3 linked regions of the Lepisosteus oculatus genome follow. The protein of the gene in region 1 purifies or fractionates together with the protein of each later gene. This does not show direct contact. Links are inferred from orthologs where the notes say so. Each region holds a gene or a part of one and is shown in the gene's direction. Other genes may lie near its edges.

The links. Proteins that work in one complex are often made in the same cells at the same time.
Region 2: the proteins of armc8 (region 1) and E3 ubiquitin-protein transferase RMND5B purify together in Homo sapiens (affinity purification with mass spectrometry; 4 studies listed by BioGRID and IntAct, with this or other methods). This does not show direct contact. The link is inferred for Lepisosteus oculatus from reciprocal best matches to the Homo sapiens genes ARMC8 and RMND5B.
Region 3: the proteins of armc8 (region 1) and ranbp10 purify together in Homo sapiens (affinity purification with mass spectrometry; 5 studies listed by BioGRID and IntAct, with this or other methods). This does not show direct contact. The link is inferred for Lepisosteus oculatus from reciprocal best matches to the Homo sapiens genes ARMC8 and RANBP10.

What each region holds. Positions count from the first base shown.
Region 1 is NC_090707.1:7,393,382-7,401,096, forward strand, and holds the start of armc8 (armadillo repeat-containing protein 8), read left to right. Parts: upstream 1-4,711; 5' UTR 4,712-4,811; coding exon 4,812-4,856; intron 4,857-4,919; exon of another isoform or gene 4,920-4,938; intron 4,939-5,406; exon of another isoform or gene 5,407-5,421; coding exon of another isoform or gene 5,422-5,436; intron 5,437-7,715. Other genes in the region: dbr1 (lariat debranching enzyme), read right to left, coding at 768-992, 1,360-1,445, 1,738-1,818, 2,207-2,331, 2,878-3,074. UniProt on the Homo sapiens protein: Component of the CTLH E3 ubiquitin-protein ligase complex that selectively accepts ubiquitin from UBE2H and mediates ubiquitination and subsequent proteasomal degradation of the transcription factor HBP1.
Region 2 is NC_090706.1:38,806,874-38,814,522, reverse strand, and holds the start of E3 ubiquitin-protein transferase RMND5B, read left to right. Parts: upstream 1-4,649; 5' UTR 4,650-5,420; intron 5,421-5,517; exon of another isoform or gene 5,518-5,540; intron 5,541-5,578; exon of another isoform or gene 5,579-6,591; intron 6,592-7,615; 5' UTR 7,616-7,649. UniProt on the Homo sapiens protein: Core component of the CTLH E3 ubiquitin-protein ligase complex that selectively accepts ubiquitin from UBE2H and mediates ubiquitination and subsequent proteasomal degradation of the transcription factor HBP1.
Region 3 is NC_090715.1:3,934,878-3,942,758, reverse strand, and holds the start of ranbp10 (ran-binding protein 10), read left to right. Parts: upstream 1-4,881; 5' UTR 4,882-5,026; coding exon 5,027-5,225; intron 5,226-7,497; coding exon of another isoform or gene 7,498-7,706; exon of another isoform or gene 7,707-7,721; intron 7,722-7,881. Other genes in the region: tsnaxip1 (translin-associated factor X-interacting protein 1), read right to left, coding at 78-213, 1,220-1,416, 1,912-2,005, 2,248-2,374, 2,763-2,869, 3,517-3,616, 7,498-7,706. UniProt on the Homo sapiens protein: May act as an adapter protein to couple membrane receptors to intracellular signaling pathways.

The sequences.
Region 1 (7,715 bases):
CAATACGCTACACGACGAGCCACCGCGCAGCCCCAGTATGGGGATTACTGAGGCCGCGAGACCGTCCCCCCGCTGCCCGTCTGTCAGGAGCGACCACCCTTCTGGGGACGTTTTCCCAGAGCTTGTCCCCACGCTGAGAGTGATGCACATCTTCTCCAGTACAGCTTGGGGCAGGCGGAGAACACACGCACGCACGCAGGCACGCAGGCACGCACGCACGCACACACTGCCCAGCCAGAGCCGAGGGCGATGCCCTGCTCCAGGTGCAAACCTGTAGCCCCTCTGCTCCCCGAAGCCTCGCTCACACCGGCTTGGCTGCCAGTAACTCACTGAAACCCAGCACCCCTTCCAGCCGAGTCCTACATGTCCTCAGGGATTTGGCTTCAAGGGCCTAGTTAGGGCAGCTTGTTGCCCACTCCCACCCCGCTCTGCGTAAAGAAGTGTGCTCCCTGTTCCCAAACGCAAATATAGACGTACTGAAATACACCTCCCCATAACTTCCACTGGTGCCCCTGTGCTGTGTTGCCATGTATTTGGGCAGACTCTGTCAACCTCTTCCAGGATTGTACCATGCTTGCTTGACGTTCCTCTGCTCCGTGAATCTCCTATGCAGGCGACTACAAAGACTGTAGCGCCTTAGTTTCCTGTGCAAGATGGTCCGAGAGGGGTCGCCTGGATCGACGCCCGGAGCAGGACAGAGCCACGGCGCCCGTGACCCTGCATGAAGGGAGTCACCCCCCGCCCCCCCCGCCCTGGCGTGCCCTGACCTGGTGCTGCATCAGAGCGGCGAACTTGACGTGCAGGTGCGCAGAGAACCAGTAGCTGGGCTGCAGCTGGGCCAGGAGCTCGGCCGCCGCGGGGCTCCCCAGCGAGTTCGACTTCACCTCCGACCGCAGGAACTTCTTCTTGCGCAGCAGCTGCTCGGTGCTGCCGTAGTGGTAGATGCCGCGCGGCCAGTCGTGGGACAGGAAGATGTCGATGGGCCCCCGGATCTGCAGCAGAGTTCACGGGAAAGAGAGCGCAGAGGGTAAGCACGCCCTCCTGCTGGTGGGAGAGGCCGGAGGTTTGTTCGCACCCCTGTTCGCGAGCCGGCAGAAAGGCTGAGGGAGACGCTACAGGGGGGTGTAATGGGGTGAGGCAGGTCACCCGATGGGGGTGCATGAGTTTAAAAGAGTGAAGCCCCCCTCCCTCCCACCCACCCCCGTCTGATGTCTGGTGCCTTTTCCAGCACGTGCTGGCCCAGCCATGCAGCTAACAAAGCAGGAGCAGCAATCAGCTCCCCACAGTTCACCCCCCTCCAGCCTGCTGGGGCTCGGCTCGGCTGAGCTCGGCTCAGAAAGGCTGCCCCAGCCCAGGCACCTGTTTGAGCTTGAAGACTTCGATATTTCGGACGTGGTAGGCGCTGCGCAGAGTCTGCTGGTTGTATGGTGGGAACTCGTAGTGACCTGCAACACAAAGAGGCACGGAGTTGTTAAAGCCCAGAAGTCTGGCTTCTTTCGAGAAACATCTGGAGGAGAGCTTCAGATCAATAAGCTACTAATGACCAAAACGAGCCGGAGGAGTCGAATAGCCCTCTCCGATTTGTGACACAACCCAGAACCCTGGCACAGCTCAGACAGCACATGGGGTGGGGTGTCAGATTGAAACTTCCCGGATGAAGGACCGAATCAACTCCATTTCCTTCCGTGAGATGGGCTCTACTGGGAAAGCCCCCGGTAGCAGGTGGGGAGGGCTCACCTTTCCGGTAGTCGTGCGACTTGAAGATTCCCGACAGCCCCCCGATCCGAAGCCCTCTGTACTGGACCACTCCTGCGTAGCCTGTGGATAGAGGGGAGTCGATCAGCCACCACGCACCATCAGGCACCTGGGCTTCCACACCCAATCTGGGCTTTCACGACACGCAGATCAGGACCCCCGTGACAAATTCAGAGTGCAAGAGACAAAGAGACACAGTCGCACAGTAACACTGAAGCTGTGTGTAACAGCCCTGGAAGATACAGTGCAAGCCGGTCAGCACAGTACAGGTGCTTTAACAGACCACAGTCCAAACCCCACAGTGATAAATGCGTAATAACACTGGTAGATGCAGATCCTTCAGCCACAGCGGTTTAACAGTGCAGACGCCCCAGTGGTATTAACACAGTGCAGTGCAGGGGGGGTGTGGCAGCCCATGTGCAGTGTGCCACGAAACACAGCCCAGACTTGCCTAGATAATAGATGTTGGGGGCCACCCAGCCCCCGTACGGCAGCTCCTGCAGGTGATTGGAGGCCTCGTGGTTCCCCCCGATGAAGATGGTGAGGATGGGGGCTTTCTTCTCTCCGGAGTAATACCTGAGAGACAGGGAGAGAGGCGCAGCAAGGAGAAAGAGTCCCGTTACAAATCTCATCGCCTTCTGGATCCATCCCTGCCTTCCACTCGGTATCCTACAGAATGATCTCCTTATTAATATCCCTACACTTCTATAGCGCTTTTCTGGACACTGCACTCAAAGTGCTTCACAGGTAATGGGGATCCCCTCCACCCCCACCAGTGTGCAGCCCCACCTGGATGATGCGCCAGTACTCTCCTCACACACCAGCTCTCAGTGGGGAGGAGAGCAGAGTGATGAAGCCAGCTCAGAGACGGGGATTATGAGGAGGCCATGATGGGTAAAGACCAGGGGGAAATTTGGCCAGGACACCGGGGTTACTCCCCTACTCTTTTCGAGCAACACCCTGGGATTTTTAATGACCACAGAGAGTCAGGAGCTCAGTTTCATGTTCCAGGGAGTGCAAGATGAATGCAGCATCTGTCTTGCCTTGCTGCCTGGGTCTAGACACACACACACACACACACACACTACAGCACGTTGGCAAGCATGCATGAGGGGGGCTGACCTGTAGAAGCCCTCCATGTTCCTGTACTTGGGGGGCACAGCCATGCACTTCAGGTCCCCCTGATTGCGCACGGCCTGGAAGTCCCCGCAGCAGAGCAGCAGGTCCACCGTCACCCCCTCACGGCGCTCCAGGTAGCCGATGGTCTCGTAGATCTTATCCAGCTCTCCATGGCAACAGCCTTCCACGGCGATCTTCATCGCGCGGGCCGGGGCCGCGTCGCGCTCCCCGACACAGGCAAGCTCACTCTCTCTCTCTCCCCGGCGCCGTCAGCCCCGCATCGGAAAGCACCCCCGCGGCCAGCGAGCGGTCTTCCCGGGCACGGCGAGGACACAGGGCCGCCCTCGGCGCTGCGGGAGCGCAGGGGAGGGACGACAGGGGGAGGCCGCCGGCCTGCTCTAAACCTCGTCTTCACAAGAAAACCAGAAAGAGAAAAAAAAATCACTTTTCCACGTCAAGAGTCGAGTTCCTCTGAGATTTAATTTCTGCATCACGCTGATAGAAACACTGGAGCTGGCATTCGCCACCTACGGTATCCAGTACGTGAAGTCTCGTATATACTGTATAGATATGCCGTCCCCAACTCCCAAATAAGTTGTCTACATTCGACATAGCCTTTTTTTCCCCCTTTTTGGGTGCATCCTCGTGGCCTGTGTGCAAACAGCACTTCACCCTTCAGAGGAACCAGCTCCTAGCCCACATGACGTGTTCGCTGCTCGACACGGTACCCCTTCAAACAGCGCGCTTCTCCCGGCCGGAGAGCCGCTGTCACTCTGTCGCACACGCCTTCACGATTCCGGGGCGAAAAGCGTGCTAAACCGAAGCCCCGTCAAGTTGACTCAATCGGCAATCGCTGGTAAACAGAAGATGTGGTCAAACGTCATAACATTCAATTCACACGAGGGCTGATATAGCCGATTCCTCTTAACGCTGCGATCTACCGACACTGTTAACACACTGCACTGAAGCTGCCGGCGGTGCGCACCTGGGCCCCTCTCAGGGCGCCCTCACACAACCCGCACCCACCTGGTGTAGGATCAGCGCTGAGGCAGCCGCCAAACCGGACTTCAGATACGTCCAGCCGGTCAGGAATCCCCCGCCACACAAAATAATAGCACCTCAGACCCGAAGCTCCCAGCCGCTACGCACTCAAAACATTCGCACATGCGCCCTGAGAGCGGCCCGCTGGTGGAGTAAATATATCCACCGTATCCGAAGGTTGCACTTTCCACACTGCTGCCTCCCGGAGGGACTGTACCGTAGACTGTTCCTTAGTTTGAAAGGGTAGAGTAATCGTCCGGTAGGTCTGCTATGTCGTGACCGCTCTGACAGATTACATTAATATCAATAGCTGAGCCAATCTGGTCCTGATTCAAAACGCTGCTACTATACTACTAATAAGGAGGCATTATTGTGATTAAGGGCACATGCATTATACTCTTGGTTTCTAAATGACCTGAGAACACAATAACCATTTATGTCAAAGAAACAAAATGGTATTGACAACGCTTGTAAGAATTAAAAAACGTAAAATTAATCAATTAGTAAATCTGTATTTTTCTTCGAAATAAATACCTGTTCTCATCTCTCTGACCTTGATTGGGATTTCTCGCTGATTAACTAGTTCGAGACTCCGCAGTGTGGAATCCGACAAAGCGAAACGCAAATTCAACTGCGCTTCTCTGGAAAAAAAAACACAAACTAATTCCTCCTTAATCTACAATTTAACTTTCGATAATCGCAACGAGCAGGGAGGGTTTTCGATTTAAAAAAAAAACGGGGACCCGAGACATGGTCTCGACGGGTAGTTAACCCCCTTTCTGCCCCCTGCGTACTCCCCCCTACCCTCGCCCTGAACTGGAAGCGCTTTTTTTTCCGGGAGGCCCAGCGTGTGGAAAGTGCTGCTCCGGTTGGGGCGCTCGTCAGGGGGAAGAGATATGGCGTGCCTGCTGGAGGCCCCTCTCCGTATCAGCGTGCTGTCCGTGAGTCTTACCCTCCGCCACTCTCTCTAGAAACGCGGCCCACCTGCAGCCGGACCGAGCCGTCCTCCGGCCGCCCCCGTCGGTGTGAGCCGGGGGCCACAGTTACAGTTAGACCTGGGTACCGGGCAGGGGAGGGGGGGTACGTTTATCGTGGTTATTTATGAGGTCCAAAACAGGTCGGTCATGTCTGTCATGATCCTCCGCCACAAACCCGAGTGCGGTGCCTGTCGTGGATGAAGCCTGATGGGTGTTTTATGGGCATAGGTGATGCCAGTCAGAAACAAACGGAACTTATGCTCCAACCGCCTGCTGTACGGATAGTTGCTGTCTCTTGGCTATGTCTCTGTCTCCTGCGGTGTGTCAATAGTGTCTAGGCAGGCGGCTGAAACGGGTGACGCCCACTTTTTGACAAGTCTGGAGCGGATCAGGAGTCGGGGTCCAGGCGCTGTGTGAGCTCAGCACTGGGACCTGATGGATGTTTCCCGCTGTTTGGGGAACTTTTATTTAAAAAAAAAAAAGGCTGGAGCAGGCGGGACACCGGCCAGCGTGAAACACCTGCGCAGCCATGCAGCCGGCACCGGTACAGGTACCGGTCTGAACGGACGTGAGAAAGAGAGCGGTCTAGCGCCTACTGCCTTTGCCAAGTGTGTTCAGGAGTCGGGCTGTAGCCCTGCTGGCGATCGCTGGAGCGTGTGTTGTAAGAGATCCTTACTGCCAAGGAGCAGCGATCGAGCGGAGTCAAAGTACCGAAGCGGACTCTGCTGGGGGCGGTACAGTTGTTACCGTTCTCACAGCAGCGACGACTGAACGCCGGTAGTTATGATTTATAACAGGTCGTTCTGAGCGAGAGCAAAGTTTGTCTGTGTGCGGTCTTGCTGAAATAATCAATATGAACGATTTAAAATCAATCACCCGAGCACGCTCAGCGTTAGTGTAGCGCTAGCAGTAGCGCAGGTGGAGCAGTGTGGTTTCGGGGCTCCGGTGAAGTCGCTGCCGAGCGAGGGCAAGGTGAGGCGGCGGGGCTGGCCGGCCTCGCTGTGAGGGACGGTGACCGCTCTGCTCTGCTGTGGGTCCCGGTCCTAGTACTGGAGTGCCTCGGTGCTCTGCTGGTTTTTGACCCAGCTGGGCCTTTCATCACCAGTGCTAAACTGTTGCGCTTGCTGGATTAGTTTTCTGTTCCGGACGTCACCAGCTACACAAGCGCAACCTCAGCACCCGGGCCTTCGGGCAGTCCGATCCCGATGTGCTAACTTATACATTGCTCATTTATTTCTGACTAAACTATTAATAGTTCATCACTTGATGATAGACGGACACCCCCCCCTCCAGTCAGTCAGTGTTTTTCCTTCTGTTTAAGTCCACTTGGTCCTGGTTCAGCTCACACAGTCCTGAAACCCAAATTCCATCAGCGTTCAGGACAATTACAGCTTTTTAAGAGCTGAAGACAAATTTGGCAAAGAGGCCTCAAACAGGAACTTGAAACGCACGAGCCTGTGAATAGGAGCGCAGGGCATCGACAGGCACAGGCCCTGCCCCAGAACAGCCTGTCTTCCAGCTGCTCGCTCCTGGTGAAATCGAGGTCTGGATGCAGAAAAAAAGTTGACTTAGACGATCAATGACTGGTAGCGGTTAGCCCTAGTAATGAACGGCCCGTTGGAACGAGAATCAGCAGACGCAGGGGTCCCCCAGAGTCCTCGGGCAGCGACCAGCGCGGGGTTGCGGGGCTCCTGGAGCTTTTCTGTCTGTAAACCAGTCTCATTTCAGTTCGCAAGTTGTGTGATTCGTGGTTGGGACTTTGCCCCCCCCGGCATCGTAGCTATAATCCTATGAGCAGCTTTGCGTGTTGCGGAGCCTGATAAGGGGTGAGGGTAGCGGTTTCTGTCGTCAGTCTTTGCTCACCGAGCGCTGGGTGGGAAAGCTTGTGCGCGCTGCTTTGTCTGAGGGGCCGGTGAAGCAGGATCGATAAGGGAGCCTAGAAGGTGCTCGCAGGAGTTTAAAATGTCTTTGAAAATGGGGAAAAAATATCTATATTTGGCATGCGATGAGTGATTGTGCTTTGTGTACGTGTCCCAGCTGTTGCTTGCAATGTCAGCTTTATGGGAGTGGCCATGTGTTTAACTGGGAGCAGTCGGGGGTCCGTCCTCATTTCCCCTCCACTGGGATTCCCGGGACAGCTCCTTGTTATCCGCAGTGGAAACGAGACCAAGCCGCCCCCTGCTCCTGGCCGGCCGCTGGCGCTCGCTCCCGGTGAACGTCTCCATGAGACTCGAGGCTCCGAGGAGGGCGAGACGCCGTGAGCCTCCCTCAGTCTTCCTGCCCTTCAGCGTGGAGTCAGCTCCGCTCGTGCTGGGCTGACCCTGGGTGTGAGCAGGGCTGCGGAGCCCAGTAAGGGACAGGTGCACACTGCTGTGCTTTGTTGGGGTGCTCCAGCCAGGCTCCCCGAGAGAGTCCCGGGGTGCTCTGTGCTCTTGCAGTGGCTGCTCCCCGTGTAGCGCGGCGGTGTGCTGAAACCCTCCGCGGAGCGCCCCAGCGCATCTTTGAGGCAGCGGTTGTAACCGAGTTGGTGTTTCAGCTGGAATTCCTGTTTAGTTGACAGCACGTGGTGGGCTCCTGCGCTATAGTGAGACTTGGAATATGTAAGGCTCCCCTTTGGTTTAATCCCTTAATTGCTTAGTTTGCAGAAAGCTTCATGTTAAGGCGTAGCCAGTTCTGGGGTAAAGGTCTGCCTTACAGCCGTGCTGTACTTTGACTCGGTAGTATTTTCTGTTTCTCATCATGGGATCTGTAATCAAGTCATCATCTCTAAGACTTTAAGGCTTGGCTAGAGGGCAGCCTCACTGCGGTGATTTAATGCGTCCT
Region 2 (7,649 bases), on another chromosome or scaffold:
CTCCAGCCTTCTGAGGGAGAGATGGGGGAGACTCCAGAGGAACGGGTTAGTACTGTATTTTGGTATATGCTGCTGGTCTATTGGAGGGTGGGCAGGGTGCCATTTTGGTTTTGTGCCTGTAAGCTCTACCCAACTGCTGAAGAGCTCAGAGCACCTGCCTGTGATCAGCTGGCCAAATGGAATTGACCTGAGGACTTGGAAGTGGTGCTGATGCCGTGGGAGACTATAGATAGATGAGCAGGGTATCTAAAAGCAGGCTAATCTACTGGTCCTCTTTGACTTCCACCAGGACAGAGCAGGACAAAGCGTAGAGGAGAAATGTGTGACAAGTACAGTTAAGGCAATATTATTCACTGCTCTTGGGAAGCCAGAATAGCCTTGTTTCATACGTGGGCCATCAGCATTCATACCTAGTATTGCTTAAAGGCTGATAGAAACGTTCGGACTCCGACACGGCACATAACCCTTAATTACTGATCACCCGAACCCTGCCATCTTAAAACCCTGAACTCCCTCTTGTCCCCCAGACAGGACAGAGGAAAGAGGAGCTGCAGGTCACTTCATTTCCGACCTGAAATAAGGTTCTGCTTCCCTGCCCCACCTGTGTGAAGTCATTGGGTTATAATCATTAGCGTAATGTCCAAGCAAAAAATAGACGTTCTGGTGCAGTTCCACAAATGGGATATACATTTTTTCATGAAAACAGGAAGGAACTAGCAAGGAAGGTTGTTGCGTTTTTTTGTTTTTTTTTGCAGTGCACAATGTGAAAAAAACAGGTTAAAGGGCTTTGGTTTTTCTCAAGGGTTAACTGTGCATAAAAGTACGTTTACTGTAAAAATACTGGTAGTTCCTCCCTGCCTGTGTTTGTGTGTGTGTGTGGGGGTGGTTCTAGCATCGCTATCTCAGCTTCCTTTGTTGCAGTCCCGCTATTTTTTTTTGCATGTTTTCACATTTTTCCCCAACATGGGGGTTGGAGGTCAGCTGAGTTGAGCTTAAAGAAAACACACATGCAGGCCTCTGTTTGTCCAAGGAACAGGTGTTTCCACGGAAACATGGGCAATAAATGACAAAGGAGAAGGGAGGGAGGTTCCTCTTTCTGCAGTCAAAATAAAGTGGCTCAGATAACCTAAGATAGCCTGCCTCTAGTTTTGCTATACAGTACATATTTAGCTGGCATACAGTCTATTTAATGCAAACAGTGTATCTGCAAGAATGTGTTTATACAGGGAGAAGTCACACGTTAATGAGTGAACAAGAGCCCTGCTGACCCCAGATAGCGTTACACTGGCAAAAAGAAGCATAAACCACAGACTCTCTCCCCAACAGGTTCATCTTTCTTTGTTACACAAGATATGAGGTACGAACTGTCGGAACCAAGACAGGTTAAAGGTTTGCCGTCTTCTGCAATGAAGGTCACGCGCTGTGGAAACATGAGGACCTGACACTTGATTGAGATCACAGAGTAGCTGCTTGCTGTTGGACATCCTTGTGTCACGTCCAAACTTCAGAGTTGTGCTGTGTTTGAATTTCTCCCTGGAGTGGGAGCTTGAATCGCATTCCCAAGCCAGCCTGAAGAAAAACAGAAAACGTTTTTAAAGGACTTGCCTTCTGTCTAAACTCAGTGCCCTTTTCCCCTGATGTCCCCTTACTGCATCGCGGCTTGTCACTGATTGATCCTCAGGAGTGCTCTTCAGCTGCTTGCTCCTGTTCTGGCTGAAACAGGGCTGTGGGGACGTGCAGATCCCTAGGGACAGCTGCGTGCCTGTATTTTTAACTGACATCTCCGTGATCCAGCCAGACCCTTCCTGTAACAGAGTAGCTGGATCTGGAGGTTAAAGTATCGGTTAGGCTACCAGTGGCCAGCCTAAAGACACTCCACTCCAGGAAGAGAATGTATGATCTAAATGCATGGGGTTGTTAGGGCACTGGTATCATCTGTGTGAAGCCAGATTCTCCTAAGACTTCCGTCGGTCCTTGGGTTAGACTCTCACTGTCAGTCAGGGCAGAGAGAAGCAGGCTCATCAGTTCTGGAGACCTCCAACGGAAACTAGGCCGTTGCTATTATAAATTGTGTTGGAGGACTAATCGGTGGCACTCTGACCTCTAACCCACACTTTGCGAAACAGCGCCCCAGTATGTTTACCGGGGGGCACTGTGCCGTAAGCGTTGCCATCATTTCCAACAGAAGTTAAAATGATATCTTGACTTCTTGGTCAATGAAGATGGCATGCCATTGTAAGGGTGTTAATGGTAGCATCCTGTCTAAATTCCACTCTGGGCTCGTGTGGTCCGGCGTTATTGTAGTTCCGTCTTTGTCCAGCTGGTGAAGCAGTTTCTCACTCCTCCCCCTGCTCTGCTGCTGAGCAGCGGGGCTGCTGGTGTTGAATGGCTGACCCACATCACCCAGGTGATGGTGAAGTGGGTCTTAGAGACCAAGACTACATCTCCCTCTTGTGGTAGACTTTGGTAATTACATCTGTGTCACACGAGTTTCTGTTGTTTCTCACTACCTCTAAATTTCCATTATTGTTGATAATTTAACTTGAGTTTCAGCTGTAAAAATAGCTTGGATCGCTTGCTTCCAGCTTGCATGTGCATGCTACTTGATGGTTTTAGAAATGGATAAGCCCATTATTTTTGGATCATTTGTTTGGATAGTGAGGTAAAAATAAACACTGTTCTCGGAAAATCTTGGACATCTTGCATTGTTCTGCTTGTTTCATTTGACGTTTTTCCTCCTATATTCAGAAACAACTCTATGGCAATTTTTATCTTGACATTGTAGCAGTCTGCATTTTGTTGTACAAAAAGAAAACTTTCAGCTTTGTGGAGGAGTAGAATGAAACAATTATGCAAATGATGAGGAACATTTGACAATAAGTCCACTGGGCCTGAGCGATGACTAAAATAATGACATTGGCAGTCCATGTGAAATTTACCTTGAGTTGTTATGATCAGGTTTTTTTTTTATTCCAAACAATGCGAAATAAAACATTTAAAAAAACTTATAATTACTTAAAAGCTGTTACAATAGTAGAAAACAATAGTGGAGTCATTGAGTTAACTTTTGGTGTACATAACGCTTATATATTGTAACCCTTAATCAAATCTAAGGTGTCCAAGACTTTTCCACGGAGCGGGATTTAAACCGTATATAGTTGACAGTAAATATATATACCTCAGTACTAGCATCCTACTCCCCATATCACGATCTTCATTCATCCAATTCTGACCCCCAAGCCCATCTACATACTACGGGCAACCTGGCTTCTCCTGCTGCACCCCAGAGCTCGGGAATTCAATCTATAAGGATATCAAAGAGTCACCTTCCCAGACCACTTTCAAATCCTGACTCAAAACCTTCTTCTTTAGGAGGGCTTTTATTCAACTGCTTCTCTCTGCCTCTTTGCTTTGCTATTGTATTCCAAAGCCTTTTTGTCATTGTGCCACTCTGCTGTCTCCTCTCATTGTGTGCTTTTTACTTTTTTCTAACTGTAAAGCACTTTGAGAATCCCCTTTTAAAGGTGCTATATAAAATAAAGTTTATTATTATACTTGCATGATATGGGCATAGAGTACACGTTTCTTTGCCCATGAAGAACTAGCAGGCCCTCACATGACGGAGAGCCAAAAGAAAGGATAAGTGCTGATCAAGGTGTTTATTTGCTAGAGGCCTCTAGTCCACTTCATAATGTCATGCATTAGAGGCCACATTTCAGCTGTGTGATCTGAAGGTTAGTTACAATGCCAAAGTCTCTTTGGGGAAAGAGGCTGCTACTACTCTCAGTCCAGATTAGCTGCTATTTTCTGCACTTTGTGGCTCAGGGTCCCTGCTTCACTGTGGCATCTGAAGTGATCCTTTGAGTTGGCTTTAAGCACAGAGTGGACAAATGAACAGAACTGCTTTCGGTTTTCCACAGAGAAAGTCGGGCAATGGGATGTACCCAGATTACTTTCCTTGTCCATCTCTGTTTGACATCCCATCAAGAATCTCTGATTCGAACTTCTTCCAGAGCAGGAAAGAGTTTTATTCAAAATACCTACATGAACTCGGGGAACGTGCAGACTCCACAAAGACACTCAAGACCAAAATTGACCCAGAAACCTGAAGGTGTGAAGCCATTATTCACCCTGCTTACCTTGTGTGTTGAAGCCTTTTCACATCACTGTCCTCGGATGAAATTTTATACTTAGATTATCCTAAAGCAGACCGGTGAGAAATAACCTTATGTTTTAATATTTACTGAACTTGCAAAAGCTTTACGTATGACAATCGTAATTTATGGAAATGCCTTTTATTCATTTATCAAATGAGATCATACATGGGGCTGCTTTCACAGACGTCAGGGTGGACGGGACGCCGTAGCTCTTAATCTGTGTTTCTGTCCAACATGAAAGAAGCTTTTTTAATTATTCAAAGTGTTTTTTTACAAATTGCACGGTTATTACTCAGGGATTTTCTCGCGGACAGTACGAAAGGGTTGTAATTCAGCATTCACCCATGGGAGGGAGCTCTGAACAAAAAAAAAACGATAACAGAGTGTACTATACACGGTCGTCGATGCTACCTTTTTTGTCAAAGACTAAAAATGAATAACGAATCGCACAAGCTACAGCTTATTAACAATTGACTGCATGTCCGCCTACAACTACATGCCCAATTTGCAAGCAAAGCATCTATCCAATAAATACTTATTTTAAAAAAGCAAGTCTACTTGGTTCCGAAGTGAAATCGCTCCTTCTGGTTCCGGTTATGAGCCCGGTAAAACGCACAGTTTTATTTATGTGCAGTATTAGCAAAGCGTCGCGCCGCCGGATTTCCTTCATCTTGTCTTCTGTCAAACTGAGGCCAAAACCACTTTCCCCCCAGCTGGAGAGGCGGGGGGGAGCTTCTCTGCTTGGTAAAATGGCTTTGTTTGATCTCTTAACCAAACGACACAAGTCGCACACCGTCGAGATTACTGCGACTGGTGTATAACTGAAATAAGCTGGTTTTTCCATCACGGGTTTTTTTTTTTCCCCGCTTTTGTTTTTTTTTTTGTCCCGATGCGGGGTTGGTCCCTCGCAGTTGGTATCGGCCGCCGAGTCTTGAACCACAGCCTGACGTACAGAGGAGGAGGAGGAGGCGGCGGCGGTGGCGGTGTTGTTGTAGGTTGTGAAGCGTCAGAAAGAAAGAAAATATCTTTAAAAAAAACGGGTATTTCTCAGGACAGCGGTAGCAGCGAAAAGAAAGAAGAAGAAAAAACCTTAACTCCTCGGGTGAGACGCGGAGCCCAGACGTGGAGGCTGTGAAACGACCGCTGGCTTGGGACTAAAAATGGCAGCGTCCAGTGCCCGGTCTGCAGTCTGTTTACACAGGAAGTGCTGTTAAAGGGGCAGCCGGCGGGGGAAGTCGGGGTGTCCGGCGCTCTGGGCCGCAGGTGAGCAGGTTTCCTGTCTGCTTTCGTGCCTGCCCCGGTGTCGGGGGTGCCTGGGTGCGCCAATCCGGCCGCTGTCAGGCCCCGGTGAGCTGGGCTGAGGGGTCGGTCCTCCTCCTATCGGTAGTTTATTTTTTTGTGTGTCTGTTTTCGTCTCCCGTCGACCCGGGATTACAAAACAAAACGCGTGTTTGTGTTTGTGTGTGTGTGTACGTGCGAGAGAGAGAGAGAGGAAGAGGGGGGTCTGAAACGCGTTGTTGACTTTTTTTCTTGTGTCTTTTGAGTCCCGCTCGTCTTCCTCGGGCCGGAAACGCGACCTGGAATGAAACGGGGTGGGAGTGGGAGTGGGAGTGGGAGTGGGGGGGTCCAGTGGGTACCCCCCACACGCTACCCACACAAGAGCAATAGAAACTGTGGTTCTTGTTGTAACCCCCTTCCTCATCGGGCTTGCCGGTGTGTCAGAAACCGCTCCTGGTTTCTGACCGGGGCTTGAAGACGGTGTCCTGTTAAAACAGGGTGGTGCTCTGATGGAGGCAGGGAGATCTGGCCTCCGGCTACAGTCCTTTGAACCCCCACCCGTTGTCCTCGCGTATTGCAATGCTGAGACCCCGGCTTGCAGACGCAGGCATGATCTCTCTCTCTCTCAACCCCCCCGCCCCAGCACAGTTCAGCTGTTTCACTGCGCTAGGATCTCGCTAATCCTCAACCGGACGGCGCAGTCGGGTCGTGTCGTGTCGTTCACCGCCGATCGAGCCCTCAACAGCAGTTATGCAGCGACGCCCAAAATAATCGATAACCTCTAGAGCAGTTGGCGCTTGGCCACCCCGGGCTGAGATGTAGGGGTCCCAGTGAAGTGCCCCCCCCCGATTTCGGTCGGTGGGATGTGCGATCAGGCTCTTGTCAAATAACTGTTTGTTGTGGAGACCGCTGTATCCTCCCGTTAAGCTAGCCGGGGGTCTCCGCTGAGAAACTGGGGCTGGACGGGTACCGGGCTCCCACGGTACGGGCGGTCGTGGGTTCAAATCCCAGCTGAGAGGCGCTGCTGTGTCCCTGCGCACCGCCTATCGTGTCGGATCGCCCTTTCTGTACCCGCAGAACTGGGCTTGCAGATCTCCCATCGCTTGGGTGAACAGCGGCGGCCAGACAAAGGAGTCGTTGTGGAGATGAGGCATCGGTAGGTTTGGCTCCGCGGCGTGAATCCGTTGCGATCGTGGTGGTTGCCGACTCCTTGGAGAGGACCGGAGCGGCAGAGTTGTGGTACTTTGTGTTCCTCGGTCTGTAAAAAAAACCATAATCCGCAAACCTCCTCGGTCTCCTTGGTCGTCAACAGCAGCAGCTGTTGTCTCCTTCCCCTCTGAAAGACAGATATTCCCTTCCGAAAGCGCAGAACGGTAAGGATTTGAGCTTTAAAAAGGGGAGGTTTTGTTTTGCGTTTTGCTGTTTCGCGTCGGGAGACGCGTCGCTGCCGTGCCGGCATGCGGGAGCCCTTCCCGAGCAAGTGGGTGTCATTCGTGGGAGATTGCAAGGCACGAACCAGCGTCAAATGTAGGTCATTTCAAATGAGATCACAGGCCGGAGCGTCGCAAACTAGGCGCTGGATGTTCCTGTGTTTTCAGGATGTATTTATTTGTTTGTTTTACTGGCGCGTCGTTGGCCCCGCTGTGAAGTTGTTCACTCAACACACCCCCTCCTCTCCTGTCTCTGGTGTTCTGCCCAGCAACACGCACCGCGACAGGACTCCCCTGCACACCAGCCAGAGAGAAGTTGCCCCCGGTGCACGTTTGTAAACACCGCTGACGCCGCACAGACTTGATGCCGCTTTAAGGCAGATCTTATGGCTCCTCTCCGGAGAGCCCCAGTCCGGCAGATCTTATGGCTCCTCTCCGGAGAGCCCCAGTCCGGCAGATCTTATGGCTCGCCACTGAACCATTTCTGAAGACAGTTGATGAGCACTTTCATGGGGAATCAATCAATCAATCAATCAATCAATCATTTTTGCTATAGCGCACCTCTTGACAGTCTGCTACAGAGCAGTACTCATCTGTTAACTGTCAAAGGGGAACTACGGCGCTATTTGTATATGTCGGGGTTGGAAAGAATCGGCACTGATGAGTGCATTTCAAAGCGCAATAAGAGTCAAATGCACGCTTGCAAAAACAACAACAACAACAACAGCAGCTCCAATCTCTATCTCGAAGCAGACACGACGGCCTGTAGCCCCTGTTCCTGCTC
Region 3 (7,881 bases), on another chromosome or scaffold:
GGCTTTTGGAGCAAGCTGCCCCGGTGCTCTGGGGAACTGAAAGAAGCAGAGATGATGCGGGCTCCTGAACTAAGTACCTTCTTGCTCAGGGCTCTTGTGCTCTTCTTGCAGGTACCTCATGTTGCTGATGTCGTTCACCAGGAGCTTGCGGGCATCACTCTCCTCCCGATACAGCAGGTACTGAGCTGCCAGGTCCTCCTGCAGCCGGGACACCTGTACAGAAAGGGAGTGAAGCTGACTCGGAAGTGTAAGCAGGGTCGGGCATTTATCATGCCTTCAAGAAACTGACACCCAGAAGTACGTTTACAAAACTTAAGGCAGCAAAAGAAGCTTATTGCTTCTTCCACAAATTGCTAAATTGTTTAAAAGTGTTATATTCAGAAATATTGCTTGTGAAATGCGTTACAATATTGTATATTAAATAATACAGAAAAGCAGAAAGCTGGGGTAAATCATATAGGTTTGGGTGAATGAAAAAGTGCAGCTAACCTTACATTAGCTGACTAATCTAACCCATATCAATTTGGGCACTGTAATCCAAAAGGCGAGCCATATCTGCAGCTTTAGGCTGTTTTCAGATAAAACTCATCAGTAAAGCTGTTCATGATCAAGCCCTTGTGCAGTAGGCTCATTCTCTCTTCTGTGTCCACATTGAAAAGCAATCCATAAATTTGTGATGCCTCCTTAAAAGCGGGCCTTGTTTGTGTAATCTCTAATGTGAGTCCCTCTAAATAAATGGCTGAAGCACCTCCACAGGATTCCTAGCGTTAATATTATAAATACATAAGCCAGTCCTGAAATCCAAAGGCACAGACTGACTGCCTTAGGGCTGGAACACACAAACACACTTGCGCACAGCAAGAGCAAAACCAGAAAACATTTAGAGTAGATACTACTTTGGTATGTCTAAAATGAACATTTTAGATCTTCTGTGTCACTTGCACAGCCTATCATACTAATTTTGATTTTTAAAAGTCTGATAGACATTTGATGCAAACAATGTTTAAACATGCAAAACTGAAATCTGAAAAGGTGATTCCATTACCTGATGTCTGGGTATGAGGCTGCTGGAAAATACAATTAAATCATTTTTTTACTTCATATATTTTATATTACTTACATAAACAGAGATGATAAATATATAGTTTTTTATTTATTCCACATAATATGTGTACCACAATATCTCCCTATCTCTGCACACCCAGAGCCTTTTTTTTACCTGTGCTTGTAGTGCGTTCTTGCTCTCATTCATATTGTCGATGATCATCAGCAAATGTCTCTTCTCCTGTTTGAGGGCCTTGACCTCCGCTCTCTCCTCCTCACGCAGGGCTAGGACCCGCTGGTCACACTGCTCTGACACCACCACCAGCATCCCCTTCAGGGGCTCCAGGGTACGGATCTGCTCTCTCAGATGGGCTGGGGTTAGCACACAGCAAGATCACTCTATCTCTTCCCCAGTCATTTGTATTTCATTATTTGCTTCTCATGTTTTTTGTTGAAAAAAAAAAACATGCATAAGTAGAAACGAAGTGTTCCACTAGTACGTTCTGGAAATTGGCCATTACTTCATGGATCTTTTCTGTTGTTTCATACAGGTGTAGCGCCATTCTAAACTGGACTCCCACCAGTGCGTCTGTCTACTTTCCTGATTGTGTGATCTTTCATGCTGGAGTCTTCCTGGGCATGCAAAGAAATACAAGGCCATGCTTTCAGGAAACAGATTTGGTAAACAAAGAGGATCTGAAGTTCATATTTGAAATTAACACCAGAAAAAAAAGACAAAAAATGTGATTGCACCACCACAACTAAATGCACTGCAAAAGTTCATGTAGCTGTAACAATAAAAAGGGCATTATTTATTATATCAATAACTGTTACTATATGTGCTGAAATACTGCAGCTGTTACATACCTAATGCAATCTCATATTCATTCTTGATGGCAGAAAGCAGTGGCTTGTAAGTTTTTAAATCTTCGATGAAATACTGAAACACTTCCTGGTATGCCTGTATAGTAAACAGAAACAGAACTCAACGGTAGATTCTCCTGAGCCCTGCAGGGGTGCTGCTCAGGGGGCAGGGGGCATAGTGTGAGGGCTGCTGTTGCAAGGAGCCGAGAGTCCGGGAGAGGATTTAGGGATCAGAGTTCAAGGAAAGGTGCAGATGATGTTATTTACTCAGGGGCCCCCGCGGACACTGCCAGGGCTATATAACGTGGACAATGGGAGAGCGTTCCTGTGGGTGCCGACCTGCAGCCTGCGCTCCGGTGCGTCGAGCTGGCTGGAGTCCAGCGCCTGCAGCTCCCTCCGCAAGTAGCTCTCCAGCTGTTCCAGGAAACGTGGCTTGGAGACCAAACCCGAGAGCTCCTCGCCACATCTGCACACAGGCAGGACAGACAGAAAACAACAGAATTCTCGAGGCGATTCCCAGACCACTCCATTGGCATTTACATCTGGAATTCTGCCCAGACTTTACTGAATCCCACGGACATCCGTCCATCTGTGGGAGACGATGGAAATGCAGGGGCCATAGGGAAGTCTGAGATCTTTGGACACATTTATTACTGTTGAATCCAGTGTCCTTAAGAAAATCAGCCACTTCTGGTGAATTGTACACTCTGTACAACACTATTATTAAAAACAGTTTCATTATACAGAAAAATCAGACCAAAAACCCAGAACAGTCTCACGCCCCCTTGATTGAGAGAGACTCTTAGATGAAACTGGGAAGCTGGGAGAGTCTGGAGGAAATAAAATCTGCTCACCCACGAATTCTGTTCTCACTGCCGGGTGGCTGTCTGTGTCCTTGGTGGACTATCTGTGAGGACACGTGGGCAGGCCATGTGGAGAGGAAGCCAGTGGCTGGAGAATGCTGGAGAATTAGAGAACAGGATCATTTATTACACAACTTGACAGCACACAAAAAAATCAAGGACATACAGTATACGTAAACTTACTAATCAATACTCCATTTCTAGTAATGTTAATTACTTTGTATGATACTGTTTTGGATGTTGTTTACCATTCCAATGGTATTGTTAACACTTATTCAGCAATTGTAACAATTTTGTTAATTATTTTCAAAAAAACGTACTTAATAGAGTTTAAATAAATGAACTGTAAGAATATGCATTGCATTCGTCACATTCATTTTTTTCATTTCAGATTCAGAAATACATAAGTGCAACATACCAAAGCATATAGTCTATAAAATTGCATAATTAAGATTCCAATCACTTCAATTTTGCCCTTTTTCATCTGGCCTTAGAAATAGCAGCAGCAAGAGTAGTGGTACAGGAGCAGTAGTACATTAGCAACAGCAGCAGTGAGACTAGTGATTTACTAGTAGAGTAGCAGTAATGTAGTAGCTGTAGATGTAGTACAAGTAGCTGTAGAATAGTAACCGCAGTAGTAAGAGCAGTAGTACTGGTTGTACAGTAGTATTAGTAGTAAAAACAGCAAGAGAGTGGCTACAAAAGCAGTAAGTGTTGTAGTATCAGTACTACTAGTGTTACTCACGTGTGCTGTCTTCAGGGTGAAAAGGCTTCCGATCTCATCGCTTTGCTGTCGGCTCTTCCTGACAGGCTTCTCGCTCCCTCCAGGACAGTTTACAGGCAATCTATAAAACAACGAGGTCGTGATCTCCCAAGACTAGCCTTTAAATAGCAGGCTTTCTATTGGTGGTGTATTTACTCTGTCGCTGTCCCCATACATGCCGTCATTTTCTCAAGTCAGGAAAGACAGAACTCAGTTATCTGAAATGTATCTTATTGTTCATATTCAGTAAAATCATTGTGCGCTTTACTGAGATAGAGATGTACTTGTAAAGAAAAATAGAAACCACGCAATACGTTACTTGTTAGCCATTGCGGTCTGCTGCATACTGCAGGTTCATTTGGAAAATATATATATATATTAGAAACTGTATTTAACTGTAACTGTATTTTTCAAAACTGACCCTTGTCTTTCTGACACAGGCAAAGGAGGCAACTTGCAGTCTTTCTGCACCGACATGCCGAACATGAGATTAATCCCTGTATCGCCGGCTGGGATAGTCCTGACCCACTGGCGCTCTCTGTGTACACTGCGTTGCCTTGGAGACGAAGGACCCCTCCCGGCAGGACCTTAAAGGGATGTCCTCAGCAAAGCAAATAAACAAATATGTGTTTCCTAATTTTTCCTGCTATAGATCCAAAAGTTTGGACATTAAAACACAGTTATTATTATTTAAAAGCTGTTTATCTCCGTACAGTCGTGGTTTTAGATTTAAATACCGTTATGTCCCTAGTACAAGATTTGGTTTACGTAATTTAAAGGGAAATTAAAGAATGTGGTCGTTTTTGAATATATATTTTTGGAAGTTGCAAACAGTTTAAAAAAATCAAAGCACCACACGTCTTTAGAAACATTTGTAAAACGTAAAGCCCTCCGTCTGCACTGAATTAATACATAGCAGTAACGAGCATTTTTTTCACTTTTATCGGGTCAAATATTCTAGTTACGTGTAAAAAACATCCCAATCTGTTGCTTGAAAAATGTTCAAAACACTCCAGCTCATGTGGCGTTGATCCTGGTATATGTAGTTCTTTATTAAGGAACGCAATCACTCGATAAAGAAATGCCAGCCTTTAAAAAACTACATTTCCCGAGAACCCTATGAGCTGCTACAGGGGCTTGTGGGGTTTGTAGGAAAATCTGAAGAACGATCTCGTTCAACCAGTTTGGAATCCGCAAGTCTGTAGAACTACAGTTTTTCCTCCTCCTCACGCGTGAAGTCCACGGGTGCACTCCCGCAGGTATTTGTGGGAGTTGTAGTCATTATCGAACTTTGTGCTCGTCGATACCCGTCGTACAAGACGATCTCCCGAACTACAACTCCCTAGCACACCGCCGATAGCCCGATTCTAGAGCGTTGGTTATCCGGGGATATCGCACCGCTGTCTCTAGTCTATTTCACTCTCTCCCTCTTCCTCCGGATTGACACAATACAGTAGAAAAAAAGCAAAACAAAACATTAAAAGCCAAAAAAATGGCGGAGCTCGGAGCGGGGAGCTTGCAAGGGGGGGACCCTGCTTTCAGCTACCAGGAGCGAGAGCTCAACGAGCGACTGAAGCAGCTTTACCCGGCCGTGAATGAGGAAGAGACTCCTTTACCTCGATCTTGGAGCTCCAAGGATAAATACAGCTACATCGGGCTCTCACAGAACAATCTCCGGGTGCATTACAAAGGTAGAGACATGCCGAAATGCTAGCACTGGCCTTCTTAATCCGGGCCAGCACTCTCCCGAAGGCTCGCTGAGCCGTTGTCTACTGTATGCGATTATGCGGACGCAGTCTCCCTGGTCTGTTTTGATCTGTTTTCTGTGCCCTCTCCGTTTTGTCTCACAAAAAGAAATCCCCGAAGCGCTGACAGTTAATGATGACAGTGTCTGGGGTTCCTCGGGTTAGAAGACCCTCGCCCTGGCCGAGCTGCCCCCGATTTCGTTTTTGCTCATAACGACCAGATAAGATGCTGGGCAGCGACTCGTCTCAGCCTTGCAGCTGAACTGTGTCGGGTGCCGTTTTTATTTTATTCTTCGTGGTGCTAATGTCCTACGCTTCTGCCCACCCCTCCCACTTTTTGTTACAAATCCCCGAATTTTAATAAGGTCCAAGAAGCAAGGGGGGTGACCCGAGAAATCCCCCCCCCCTCAATCTTTCCCTGCCCTCTTAGAAAATAATTGCATTAAACGGAAAAGAATGACATCACTTGCCGTGACTGTCAGCAGTTTGCGATACTGATTATGAGCCAGTTTTAGGAAATATGGACGCAGGGTAGGTGTCAGTTACCCAGGGCAGGTAGCTGTATTCTGCTCCACTGGCACAGTGATATAGATGCCAACTCTGGCCACTTAAATGGACGAGGCACCTACCAAAGACGACACAGGAATCCGCAATGATCTGGTATTCCTTTTTGCGAGATTATTGCGGATTCCGTGAGCCGTGTGGTGAGCGACGAGGACCGAAAAAGAGATCAGCTCGTTGTTGAATTCGGGCCTTGAATTACAATGAATTAACCCTTTCCGCCCCGAGAGCGGAAACAGGATGTGTTTATTGTGAAAGAAGGGCTCGGTCTCGTCCTCCTGGTTCTAGTGGGGTCCGGGCCGTGGTTGTGTCTCTGAACCACGGCTCCCCCAGGGTTTTGAAAAAGGAGTGGCAGACCTGTTGTGTGGAGTTTTTCTGTCAAAGGGCAGGTTTAGTAAAATGAATAAGCAAATGACACGCCACCAAAGATATGCTTCTTCAGAAATCTGGTTAGCAGTGAGGGCTTTACCAGACATAGCTATCGGTCCTATGTGTACCCCCAGAGTTCTCTGAATCACCCCCCTTTTTTTTGAGCAGTTGTGGATTTAGAATCACGGGGTTCTCTTCAGTGTGGATCCTGATGAGAGCAGCCGTGTGGGTACCATGCACAAGAATTATTAGGTTTCCATTCTAGTGAGGATTGATTTCAATGTATCGGACTGGGCTGGGGGAAATGGAGAGATCGTGGTCGACTGATTGAAATTGCTTTATTTGAAATTGATTGAAATCCAAAATGAAAACACTTTGCTCAAACAGAATGATGACTGATCCAACCACGGTTGCTTCTGGTAACGTTAGGTGCCCCCTGTTGCTATGGGTTATAATTTCACAAAGCTCCTGACATTGGAATGAAACTGACTCCTGCTGTCAATTAGATCTCGTGTCCCACATGGGCTGTGTTCTGTATTGCCTGTGGAATACCATCAGTTCCCTGCAAATTCGTCTGATGTGTTCTTTTAAAAGACCAAATTGTATTCAGCCAACAGAGCTTAGGCAATGTAGACTAAGGGTTTTTTTTTGTTTCAAGGACAGAGCAAAGTTTCTAGACGGCATGTTTTGTTTGGAAGGAGTGATTTGTAAGATCTGTAATGAGGGTCTTGGCCGAGACAGATCAGAGTCAGAGAGGTGTACGGTAAGTCAACACTGAACTCAGTGAAGGCCCTGGCTGTGAGCCGGGGGGCCTTTCTGAAATGAGCTTTTTTTTTTTTGCCTGAGTGGAAGAATCAGTGTTCACAGTGCAAAGGTCCAGTGAGAGAATGAGGATATTTTTCCTAATTATACAGAAACTGGGGGGGGGAAAGACACTTTAACTGGAATAATTGCAGTTAAACTTATTTATTTAGAATGGGGGAAGTCAGTTTTCCGAAACTTAGAGGTGTCATTTTAGCTCAACACCTTCAATGAAATATTTACCCCAATGTGGAACCTGCAGCTGTAGTCTGAACACTTGTACAATTGTATTAGACTGCGGGGTGAACAGGGGTGGAAATAGTAGTATGACACAGAATTACTCCATCAGCCGCAGCCCTGCGTTCAGATTAGGCAACCTATAAATAGCTCTGCTTTATATTTAAAAAAGAATCCAGAGAACATGCATGCACCATTTTGAAACCTGTGAACAGAGTGTGATCGCTGGCATCATGAAGTCATTGCTCACCCATCTGCAAGATGGTCGTCTCCCCTCTCGGTGCAGAGGGGCGCCGGGAGGTCGCAGGCCTGGGCCCCCGGAGGCCCCGCGGGCCTGGCAGGCAGGCCAGCCCCACGGCACTTGTCTCCTGCCGGGCCGCTGCTCCGAAGTGGCCGCGTGACATTGATATGCACATGAGCTCGTCTTAAAGGGACGGCTCCCCCTTCGTTCCCCTCCATTGTGAGGAGCTGTGGAAAAAGCGGCACTACCTGGCTTCGTGCCGCTTCAGAGGAGAGGAGTCACTCGCTGATGGTGGGTGCTCTTCCTCAAGTTGGCTTTTTTGCCATTAAGCAATGTGGGGGTACGACGTGGTCGCTGTTTTTATTTCCCTTCAAACTGCTAAGCTTTCTTGTG